Linked DNA regions of Stegostoma tigrinum. The protein of the gene in region 3 interacts with the protein of the main gene of each other region in a pairwise test. Links are inferred from orthologs where the notes say so. Each region holds a gene or a part of one and is shown on either strand. Other genes may lie near its edges.

What was found.
Region 1: the proteins of cchcr1 (region 3) and smarce1 interact in binary tests that used the Homo sapiens proteins (3 or more experiments, as listed by UniProt). The link is inferred for Stegostoma tigrinum from reciprocal best matches to the Homo sapiens genes CCHCR1 and SMARCE1.
Region 2: the proteins of cchcr1 (region 3) and hsbp1b interact in binary tests that used the Homo sapiens proteins (3 or more experiments, as listed by UniProt). The link is inferred for Stegostoma tigrinum from reciprocal best matches to the Homo sapiens genes CCHCR1 and HSBP1.

Annotation. Positions count from the first base shown.
Region 1 is NC_081384.1:2,079,038-2,082,788, reverse strand, and holds the start of smarce1 (SWI/SNF-related matrix-associated actin-dependent regulator of chromatin subfamily E member 1), read left to right. Parts: upstream 1-957; 5' UTR 958-1,184; intron 1,185-3,751. UniProt on the Homo sapiens protein: Involved in transcriptional activation and repression of select genes by chromatin remodeling (alteration of DNA-nucleosome topology).
Region 2 is NC_081369.1:48,301,179-48,304,929, reverse strand, and holds the start of hsbp1b (heat shock factor-binding protein 1b), read left to right. Parts: upstream 1-734; 5' UTR 735-852; coding exon 853-897; intron 898-3,751. UniProt on the Homo sapiens protein: Negative regulator of the heat shock response. Negatively affects HSF1 DNA-binding activity. May have a role in the suppression of the activation of the stress response during the aging process.
Region 3 is NC_081387.1:26,383,908-26,387,658, forward strand, and holds the start of cchcr1 (coiled-coil alpha-helical rod protein 1), read right to left. Parts: upstream 2,687-3,751; 5' UTR 2,581-2,686; intron 2,476-2,580; 5' UTR 2,314-2,475; intron 1,130-2,313; 5' UTR 992-1,129; intron 1-991. Other genes in the region: tcf19l (transcription factor 19), read left to right, coding at 3,517-3,751. UniProt on the Homo sapiens protein: May be a regulator of keratinocyte proliferation or differentiation.

The DNA.
Region 1 (3,751 bases), on a different chromosome or scaffold from region 3:
GCTACATGGTCGTCATCAGACTTTCAGTTAGAGATTTTGTTTTTAATTTTGAATATGAGTTCCTGGGACACTAAAATGAAAGCAAAATCCTTAAGTAGTCACACCAGAATCGAGACGTTATCGCCTGTTTTTCTCTGCACAGCTTGACCTGCTGAGCCCCTCAAGCAGTTTTAACTTTTATCCCTGGGACCTTGTGTCCCCGGATTACTCCACCAACAGCTCTGGCACTACATTATTGCCTCTCTGTTAATAATCTTGTGAATTAATTACCAACTAAATTGCAGATTTTATTAGTCACCAGCAACTGTACAAGGTGTAAATTGATTAGTGTTGGGTACGTTGATTGTGTTTCGATATTGTCCCTTACCTGTTAGATTTCAGTGACTATTTGACATGTTCCCAGTCCTGCAGCAAATTAAAATTAACATTTCTCAAGATAAGGAGATTTCTCAGTGAGACTGGGGACAAAATAAATCAGTCTTACAGAAACAATACAGCATATGCACTTTAGGTCAGACATGCATTCTATTTGAAGAACCACAGTAGATTTATTGTCTGTAGCAGCACATTCTTAGAAAAATGTTTTCCATTAAAAAGGAAATTATTAGCTTATAACACCTATACAAAGACTCAAAACAACTGATGTTGTAACTATATTACAACTGCGCTTATTTAATTTATAGAAGGGAACTTTATTTGGAGGCTCGAATGTACGGTTGCTACTCACACTGACATTTGGCCTTGGGTCGGCACAGTTGGAAAGAGGTTCGCAGATTCGGCGGAACTGTTTATTACTTTATAAAATTCTGCCAGGCCCAAGGTGGGAGTGTACTGGGGGAAGATCAAGTCCACCCGAGGCGGCGGGTATTCCCCGGGTGTCGGGAAATTTTCATCCGGCAGCCGTGGCCGGGTTTTGTTTGTGTGGAATGTGCGAGCTCGGCGCCCCCGGACAATAGGAACCCGCTCGCGCTCGGTCCGCGCGCTTCCCGCCCCCCGGCCCCGGGCTTGCGGATCCAGACCCTTCCCCCACCCCCCCCCCCCGGGTACCGGGCTCCGGTCACCGAACTACCCCACCCGACACAGGCCAGCTCCCGGCATCGAGCTCCCTCCCTCCTCGGCCAGGGACACCGACCGCCTCCCCGGGACCGCGGCTCCAGCGGGACACAGGACTCCCCGCCCTCTCCGTGAGTACAGCTTTGATCCCGGGGGGGGGGGATGAACGGGACATCATGAGGGATGAGCTGGGCTGGGGAGGCAGTGAAGGGAGAAGACGGGGGGGAGGGGGATCTCTCCGAGGGTTCACTTTGGGTGGGAAGTGTGGGTGCTGCAGGATGTTGTCATGGACAATATTCCGGAGCTGGGAGGGTGACTGACTCCCAATGAATTAAATCGGGGATAAAGGCTGTCTTGGTAACATTGAGGGGGATGGGTGGAGAGTGACCCAGTTGAAATATTTGGGACTATAAAATGTACGTAGACACACACACAAGATGTTTCTTCCGTAGGACAGTAGGACCAGGCTGTTATCATTCTAATAGTAGTTTAGGACAAAAACAGAAATTGTTGGAGAAGCTGAGCTGGTCAGGCAGAACCTGTTAGCAGAAAAAGTTAACGTTTCCAGTCCGATGATTCTTAATCATAACCTCAGTCGTTTGGGCTTGGCCAGCTCAGTTGAATGGACAGCTGGTTTGTGATGCAGAGTGACATGGACTCTCCTTTTCAACCTCACCCCTAACTTGAGGTGTGATAACCTTTAAGTTAAAGCACTTCTAATCATCTCTGTAATGAAAGAGTAGCCCCATGGTCCTTTGGGGCTATGATTGGTTGGGGACTCATTTCCACTTTACATCATTTTTTTTTCTCCACCATCGGCAACCTCTTTGTCTTTTGTTAGTCAAAAGTATAACAAGTGTTTAAAAAAATTCCAACATCTTTTTAACTCAAAAAATGTCCTAAACTCTCTTTTTTGTCTCCACAGATGCCACAACTGCTGAGTTTCTCCATATTTCTTTGCTATGTTGGCAGTATAAGACAGTCACTAATAAATCCATTTGAGAATTCAGGAAAAATGTCTGCCTGGGGAGTGGTGAGAATTCAGGACTTTGAAAAGCAACACCAACCTGTCATGAGCAATTAGTTCATCTAGGACCGACTATGGAATGAAAGCCTTTTACTTGTATAGTTCCTTTTAAAGTAAAAGGAATATCTCAGATTGTTTTATAGCCAGAGACAGTAGGAACTGCAGATGCTGGAGAATCTGAAACAACAAGGTGTAGAGCTGGATGAACACAGGTCTAGAGGAAGGGTTTAGGCCTGAAACGTCAGCTTTCCTGCTCCTCTGATGCTGCTTGGCCTGCTGTGTTCATCCAGCTCCACACCTTGTTTTATAACCAATCAGTTTATTATATATAGTATATATTTTTGCTATGCAATCACTGCTGTTATGTCAGTAGTATGGTGGCCAATTTGTACATGGCAAATTCCACAATCAGCAGTGTGATAATAGCCAGATTATCAGTTTTTGTTGTGTTGGCCAAATTGGGAATAACAGGGCAAAATTGGGATTATAGAATCAATAGATGTGAAGCTAGAAAAAGACAACACGCTGAGGAGCAGGAAAAAAAGTTTTGGGTCCAAATTGTATAACCTAGTGTCTCCTGACTTCTGATGTTGTCTGCTATAGGGGCGGCACGGTGGCTCAGTGGTTAACACTGCAGCCCCACAGCACCAGGGACCCAGGTTCGATTCCAACCTTGGGCGACTGTCTGTGTGGAGTTTGCACATTCTCCTCATGTCTACTTGGGTTTCTTCTGGGTGCTCCGGTTTCTTCCCGCAGTCCAAAGATGCGCAGGCTAGGTGGCTTGGCCGTGCTAAATTGCCCGTAGTGTTCAGGGGTGTGTGCATTTATAAGGAGGTGGATCTGGGTGGGATGCTTCAAAAGGGCGATGTGGACTTGTTGGGCCGAAGGGCCTGTTTCCACACTGTAGGGAATCTAGTCTAATCTACCTCAATCCAACACCAACACCTTCACATCCTCAGAATAGTGCCATTCACTTGGGAGAATAGATGAAGTCTTTGTTTAATGTTTCATTGGAGGGTACCTTTGCTGTTATAGTACCCCTCAATTAACCTTGCAGAAATCTCAGGAGTGGGATTTGAACACAGAATCTTCTTGCCCAAAGGGGAAGGTATTACCTGTTGAGCCATGGCTAATGTGTGGTGTCCATTGGTATTATTGTGGCTTTCTCAGCTTGAGGCAGAGTGTAGTGCAGGCAGAGCAATTTCCCAAATGTCTTTGCTGTTAAGGCAGAAGATTTTAAATGAAAATGCAGGCATTCTCCTTAATTTCTTGCTGAAGAAACATTAAATCTGATGAAAACATGGCTATTTTCTGTCAAATGTTTGTGTTCTTCCCTTTGTTCTGTTCTCATGGCACTGTAACTTGTCAAAGTTGAGGTACTTTTCTCTCCCCGAACATTTTTGCACTCTATCTATGTCTCTGTCCGTATCTCTATCTCTCTCTCATATCTCCTTGCTTCAGTGGCTAACTGCAAGTCTTGGCCTAGATCCTTGGATCCCTGAATTGGGATATGACTCATGACTTTGGAGTACGCGCTGAGTGTTGCTGAACAAAAAGACATGATCTTGAACTTTTCCATCTTAGACTTGGTCAGCACAGATGTAAGAATATTCCCAGATTTCAAAGGGAGCAATGTTTATACCACATGAGAAACAGAGTGCTGATTGGTTC
Region 2 (3,751 bases), on a different chromosome or scaffold from region 3:
CTTAATTCATTAACTGTTTTAAAGAATTTCTCCCTTCCTACTAGAACATTTCTCAGCTTTCCTGAATTCCTACTTCTCTCTTCAATTTCCTTTCACTTCCGGTTCTCTCTTTCCTCTAACTCACCATCTCATAATACCACTATTATCATTTCACACTCCTGCTCTTCTCCTATCTGCTTCCTGCTTTGCCACAAGCTCCATGTCTAATCATGTATTGTGCAGATCTATTATTCAAGATGAAAGCAAGTTCAACCACATGAAGCAATTGTTCAAAAGTGGAAAAAGTTCTAGACTCTGCTGTGTGCTCAAGTTATTCCTTGCTAAACCGAAACAAAATGTCCCAGAGGGAAAACCTGGTTTAAAAAAAAACTTGAAAGTGAAAATACCGGTTTGTACTGGACTATAATTCTGAGGAACAAGGCAAGTCAGATCACTATGTGTCATTTTCAAGTTTTATTAGATTTCCCCTCTGGGATATTAGTTCAGGAGATTCTGATAAAGATTACGACCTTAAATTTTTCCTCTCTTTGTTCATAGATGCTGCCAGGTCTTTCCAGCATAGCCTACTCGTTCTGGGCGCTAAAAATGTGATTATTTCAAATTTGCTGGAGCTGGATGAAAATGTTAGCAAAAGACCCAGGAAGTAAGGTCCAAAGTGGAAAATTGACAGTTGGTGGGGAATCAGGCACAGGCTATTTCAATTCAAAGGCGGGGAATCAGGGAGACGACTACAACACCCATGATGCAGCGGGACGTCGGCGAAATCTTGTGAGGTCACGGCAGATTTGTCGGAGTGGGCAGGATCGCCGTGGTAACGAAGCTGCTGAGGATTGAGGCCGAAGAAATCTTGAGATGTCGGAGACAGACCCGAAGACGGTGCAGGACTTGACTGCAGTGGTGAGTGAGTGATGGAGGGAGGTGAACGGGCAGCTTTCTCAACCAGTGAGCTGCGCGACTGGAGGCTCGGGCTGTGCCGGTCGGACTAGGCCTCAGCCTCCTGACTGTTTCCTTGGCTGCAGCTTTACCTAGACGCACAGGGTGTCCCCTGCCCGAATGGGGCGGCTTCACCTTGTCCTCTGCCAGAAACTGTTGTCCCAGACCGGTAGAATATTTATGAGTAACCGAAGTAAACACAGCTGATCAGCACTTTCAAGGCATTTGAGATTGGATGACTGATGGTGATCTTACCAGTGATCTCCACATCAAATGAAAGAAGAAAAAATGTGCCCAATGCATGTGTAACCAGAATTGATGTTGACTTTGAAAAACAGCCAGAATCCACAATGGCACAATTAAACGACCAAGTGTCTCTCCTAATCACCTTGGACCCAGGTATTGTGTGAAGGTGACATCCCTAATTTGGAAACCTTGGTGTTCATCTGTATCTGGATGTGACACGTCAAAAGTCATCAGTTTGAACTGACGTGAACTGACGCTGAAGAGGCAGCAGTCTCTGTGTTTGGGTCTGTTTTTACAAGACATGGTACATAAACACATCACTATCAATATCTGTCAAAGACTAAATAAATGTACCTCTTCATACAAATATAAAGATCAGAGCACAACAATGGTATTCAGTCCATCTACCTGTGTTGTTGCAGTTCTTTTATATTCATCTGTTAGAAATACTTGGTAATTTCTTTTTAAAACTGACTTCAACAGCCATTTGTGGTGAACTATCTTTCTGTTACTCCACCTTACCTGGTTTTAATCCCTCTGTTCATCTCCCATTCATGTCTCCATCAAGCAAACCTTAAACACTGCTAATGTGTCTGCTACCACCACCACCACCTCTGCCAGTGTGTTCCAGGCACCACCGTGCCGTGTGAAAAATTTTCCCTGCAATTCTTCCCTAAACCTTGCCCTCACGTTGAACCTGTGCTGCCGTGTAGTTGACCTTTCCATGCTGGATAAAAGCCTCTGACTATTCCAACCTACCTATGCCTTTTGCAATTTTGTAAACCTCTATTAGGTCACCCCTCACCCTACATCTGTCCAGTGAAAACATTCCAAGTTTATCCAACTATCCTAATACCTAAAACTCTCTAGACCAGGCAACATCCTGGTAAATCTTCTCTGTGTCCTTTCTAAAGCGTCTACGTCTTTCTTAAAGTGTGGTGACCAGACCTGCACGCAATATTCCAAATGTGGCCTGACAAAGTTTTATACAGCTCTAACATAACTCGCTAACTTTTATATTTGACACACACAGGCGTGTTGTGTACCTTCTTGACCACCTTATTCACCTGTGTTGCCACTTTCAGGGATCTGTAGACCTTTATACCCAGATCCCCCTGTATGTCAATGATACTTTGGTACCTGCTATTTATTTTATAGTTTGTATCTGAATTTGATCATCCGAAATACTTCACCTTGCATTTGTCTGGGTTAGACTCCATCTGCAGTTTCTCTGTTGAAATTTGCAAACTGTCTGTCTTTCCATGTCCTTTGACATACCTCTTCACTATCCACAACTCTGCCAATTTTGGTGTTGTCTGCACACTTACTAATAAGATCACCTAATCGCTAAAGGAATAGAGGATAAAAGTAGGATGGCATTGTTGCAATTCTACGAGGTATTAGTGATACCGCACCTACAGTATTGTGCACAATTTGGGTCCCTTTGAGGAGGGATGTAATTGCATTGGAGGCAGATCAGAGGAGGTTCACTAGATTGATTCCAGAGATGACGGGTTTGTCTTATGAAGACAGATTGAGTGAGTCGTTTGGATCTATACCTATCTGGTTCACTAATGTCCTTCAGGGGAGGAAATGTGCCAGCCCTCCCCTGGCCTGGCCTACATGTGACTCCAGACCCATAGCAATGTGGTTGACTGTCAGTTGCCCTCTGGAGTCACATGTAGGCCAGGCCAGGGGAGGGCTGGCAGATTTCCTGGCCATGACAGTATCAGTAAGAGTGACCCTGCACAGTCCTTGTGGAGACGAAGCCCCACCTTCACGTTGCGAATAACCTCCATCGTGTTGTGTGGCACTGTCACTGTGCTAAATGGCGCAAACTTTGCACAGATCTAGCAACTAGACTGGGCATCTACGAGGCACAGTGGGCCATCAACAGCAGCAGAATTATACTCCACAATCTGTAACCTCATCGCCCGGCATATCCCCCACTCAACCATTGCAATAAAGCTAGTGGATTAACCCTGGTTCAATGGAGACTGTAGGAGGGCATGCCAGGTGCAGCACCAGGTATACCTGTAAATGAGGTACCAACCTGGTGAAGCCACCAAACAGGATTACTCTCATGCCAAACAGCGAAAGCAGCAAGTAATTGACAGAGCTAATCAATCCTATAACCAATGGATCAGATCTAAGCTCTGCAGTCCTGCCACATCCAGTTGTGAATGGTGGTGGACAGGTAAACAATTCACTGGAGGAGGAGGCTCCACAAATATCCCCATCCTCAATGATAGAAAATCCAGCACATCAGTGCAAAAGATAAGGCTGAAGCATTCGCAGCAACTTTCAGAGAGAGGTGCCAAGTGGATGAACCATCTCAGCCTGTTCCAGTGGTCCCCAGCATCACAGATGCCAGTCTTCAGCCAATTTGATTCACCGTACGTGATATCAAGAAACTGTTCGAGACACTGGACACTGCAAAGGCTATGGGCCCTGACAACATTCCGGCAAAAGTACTGAAGATTTGTGCTCCGGAACTTGCCACTCCCCTAGCCAAGCTGTTCCAGTACAGCTACAACACTGGTATCTACCTGACAATGTGGAACATTGCCCC
Region 3 (3,751 bases):
CCCACTGCACCACACAACCAGCCCAGCTCTTCCCCTCCACCCACTGCATCCCAAAACCAGTCCAACCTGTCTCTGCCTCCCTAACCGGTTCTTCCTCTCACCCATCCCTTCCTCCCACCCCAAGCCGCACCCCCATCTACCTACTAACCTCATCCCACCTCCTTGACCTGTCCATCTTCCCTGACTGACCTATCCCCTCCCTACCTCCCCACCTACACTCTCTCCACCTATCTTCTTTACTCTCCATCTTCGGTCCGCCTCTCCCTCTCTCCCTATTTATTCCAGTTCCCTCTCCGATGAAGGGTCTAGGCCCGAAACGTCAGCTTTTGTGCTCCTGAGATGCTGCTTGGCCTGCTGTGTTCATCCAGCCTCACATTTTATTATCTTTGCTTCTGTGAAGAAACACAGTTCAGATTAATCACCTTCCATCAGAATTCAAACTGAAATTTTGTACCTCGGTGCTGCCACAGCACCTACCCTTCACCTCCATCCAAGGCCCAAGACAAACTTTCCATGTATGACAGGGATTCACCTGCATATCATTCCACCTGGTCTACTGTATCCATTGTTCTTGATGTGGTCTCTTCCACATAGATTAAACCAAATGTACACTTGGAGACTGATTCGAGGAGCATCTGCACTCTGCACGCTAATATCAACAGCACCTTCCAGTCGAACCACTTTAACCACCCCCCCCCCCCCCGCCCTTGGGTGACATGTCCATCCTGGGCCTCCTCTAGTGCCACAATGACGCCACACGCAAACTGGAAGAGCAACACCTCATATTCCGCCTTGGGAGCCAACAGCCTGATGGCCTAAACATCCAGCCTTCCACCCACAGCCTCATCACATGTCTAACCCTCCCACTCATCCCCACTTTCTTGACCTGGCACCACCTGTCCATCTTCTTTCCCATCTATCCGCCCCACCTGTCCAACTGCCCAATCCCCACCATCCCAAACCTGCACCCACCAAACATTGTCCCACCTACCTTCAGAAGCCCCACCCCTCCTATTTATTTCTGAGCTCCCTTCCCCCTCTCCAGTCCTGATGAAGGGTCCAGATCTGAAATGTCGACTTTCCTGCTTCTCTGGTGCCGACTCTCCTCCTGTGTTCCTCCAGCTCCACACTGTATGGATGACGAAAACACTGTTAACAAGTAGCAACGGGAATTAACCGAGTCATACAGGAATACAGTTCATATTACAAAGATACTCAGCAGAGAGGGGGAGGATTTGTCTCTGTTTCAAAATGGTTGTTGGAATAGGCTGGAGGACTGGTGGGGGTTTGGGGCACATTGGTTGGTAAGCAGCAGAGTTCAGTGTCTGATCCTTTGTTTGCTCAGTCTTTGGATTCAGACACATACACAGACACACACACACACACACACACACACACACACACAAACAGACACCAAACAGTGCGGATGCCTCGAGCATGTTGACTTCATAGGTGCCTGAATGAATGTTTCCATCAAATTTGTGTTCGGTAAATGTTTTGGGTTGCATCTAGATACGAGCACTGGTTTGAACTTTTCCAATTAGCACATTTCCTCCTTAACTGAAACCAGTTCACTTATCCCTTACCTAAGGAAAAATATATTGGAGTCAGCCCTATGAAGTTTTACTCGGCTGATCCCAGGTATGGAGGAACTGTCCTTTGAGGAGAGGTTGAGTAGGTAGGGTCTGTATTCTGGATGTGAGTTTGCTCACTGAGCTGGAAGGTTAGTTTTCAGACGTTTCGTCACCATTCTAGGTAACATCATCAGTGAGCGTCCGGTGAAGCGCTGGTGTTATGTCCCGCTTTCTATTTATCTGTTTCCTAAGGCTCACTGATGATGTTACCTAGAATGGTGACGAAACGTCTGAAAACGAACCTTCCAGCTCAGCGAGCAAACTCACATCTAGAACCTCAACCTGAGCTACAAATCTTCTCAAAACTTGCTAGGGTCTGTATTCATTGGATCATAGAAGAATAAGAGGGGATCTTATTGAAACAGATAAGATTCTTCGGGGGCTTGATTTGGAAAGATTGTTTCCCCTTGTTAGAGTCCAGGGTTAGAGGGCATACATGCAGAGTAAGGGGTCACCCCTCAGGAGAGCGATAAGGTGGAAATTTCTTCTCTCCAAGGGGAGTAAGTCTGTGGAATTTTTTACCGCAGAGGTCTGGAAGCCTTACTAATTACATTTCAGGCTGAGATAGATTGATAAACATTGAAGGAATTAAGGGTTATAGGAACAAGACAGGGAATGGATGGCGATTATTAGATCAGCAATGATCTCATTGAATGGCAGAGTTGACCGAAATGCTTACGTCTGTCCCTACTTATATTCTTGCAGACCCAGAGTGACTGCTGTCCCAAGTTTGTGTCCTTCTGCAACTTCTGGGTCATCTCTTCAACCCAACGTCACAAAAGAGATTCCTAAAGCAAATTTCTGCAAACCCTCAAAAAAAGGGGAGCAGTTCAAGTGGCGCCTGTTCAAAAAGATAGAGAAAGCAGTTTACATTTCGAGTTAGAACATCACCCACAGTAAGATTACCAACAGTAAAATCACGGGAATATCCCTCACAATGACATACATGACAGTAATTATCTTCCTGACCGGCCCTTTATTCCTCGTAGACCACAATCTGACAACTCTGCCTGGCACCCTGGAGGGAGGGAGGGCGGAGCGCCAGCATCAAAGATGGCAGCTCGGCCAGCCAATTGGCATCACCTCCTAGTACGCAGGCACAGTAACTGGTACCCCCGCGGAGGACAGGGATCATCTCGCGATACTTGGGGCCGCCGTTCCAGCGCGCCAATTTTCAAAGGCGCTTCCTGTAAACAGAAGGATAGACCTAGAAAGAGAGAGAGAGGCGGGGAGGATAGACAACAGACAGCTGGTCTGCCGTCGAACCGGTCGGTGGCACTGAGGAACACCGGAGAGACAACAACAACAACTACAGTGGCGCCAACTGTCCACCGCAACGGTCCGAGGTGGAAAGCCAGGCCTCAGTTCCGATGACCTAACAACTGGATCCTACCCCCGAGAGCCCAGGATTTGATGAGTTAGCAACTGGATCCTACCCCCCGGGAGCTTGGCGACCAAACATTCGGAGCCGAACCGCCATGATTCCAGGATTTGGTGACCTAACAATCGGAGCCTAGCCCCCAGGAGTGCGGGTTTTGATGACCTAACAATCGGAGCCGAGCCCCCAGGAGTGCGGGTTTTGATGACCTAACAATCGGAGCCGAGCCCCCAGGAGTGCGGGTTTTGATGACCTAACAATCGGAGCCGAGCCCCCAGGAGTGCAGGTTTTGATGACCTAACAATCGGATCCGAGCCCCCAGGAGTGCAGGTTTTGATGACCTAACAATCGGAGCCGAGCCCCCAGAAGTGCAGGTTTTGATGACCTAACAATCGGAGCCGAGCCCCCAGGAGTGCAGGTTTTGATGACCTAACAATCGGAGCCGAGCCCCCAGGAGTGCAGGTTTTGATGACCTAGCATACCCCCGACACCGACCCAGCGAGGATGCTGTCGGAGGTGCAGCCCTGCCTGCAGCTGCTCCGCATCGGCACCGCCCCGCAGCCCAGCCCGAGGCCCGGCCAGGCCACGGCGCCGACACCCGCCCGCGACCTCTACACTTTCCTGCCGGCCGGCCAGCGCTGCACCTTCCGCCTCGGCCGCCGGGCCGACCTCACCGACCTGTGCCTGAGCTCGGGGCGGGCCGAGGATCTCATCTCCCGGGTGCACGCCGAGCTGCAGG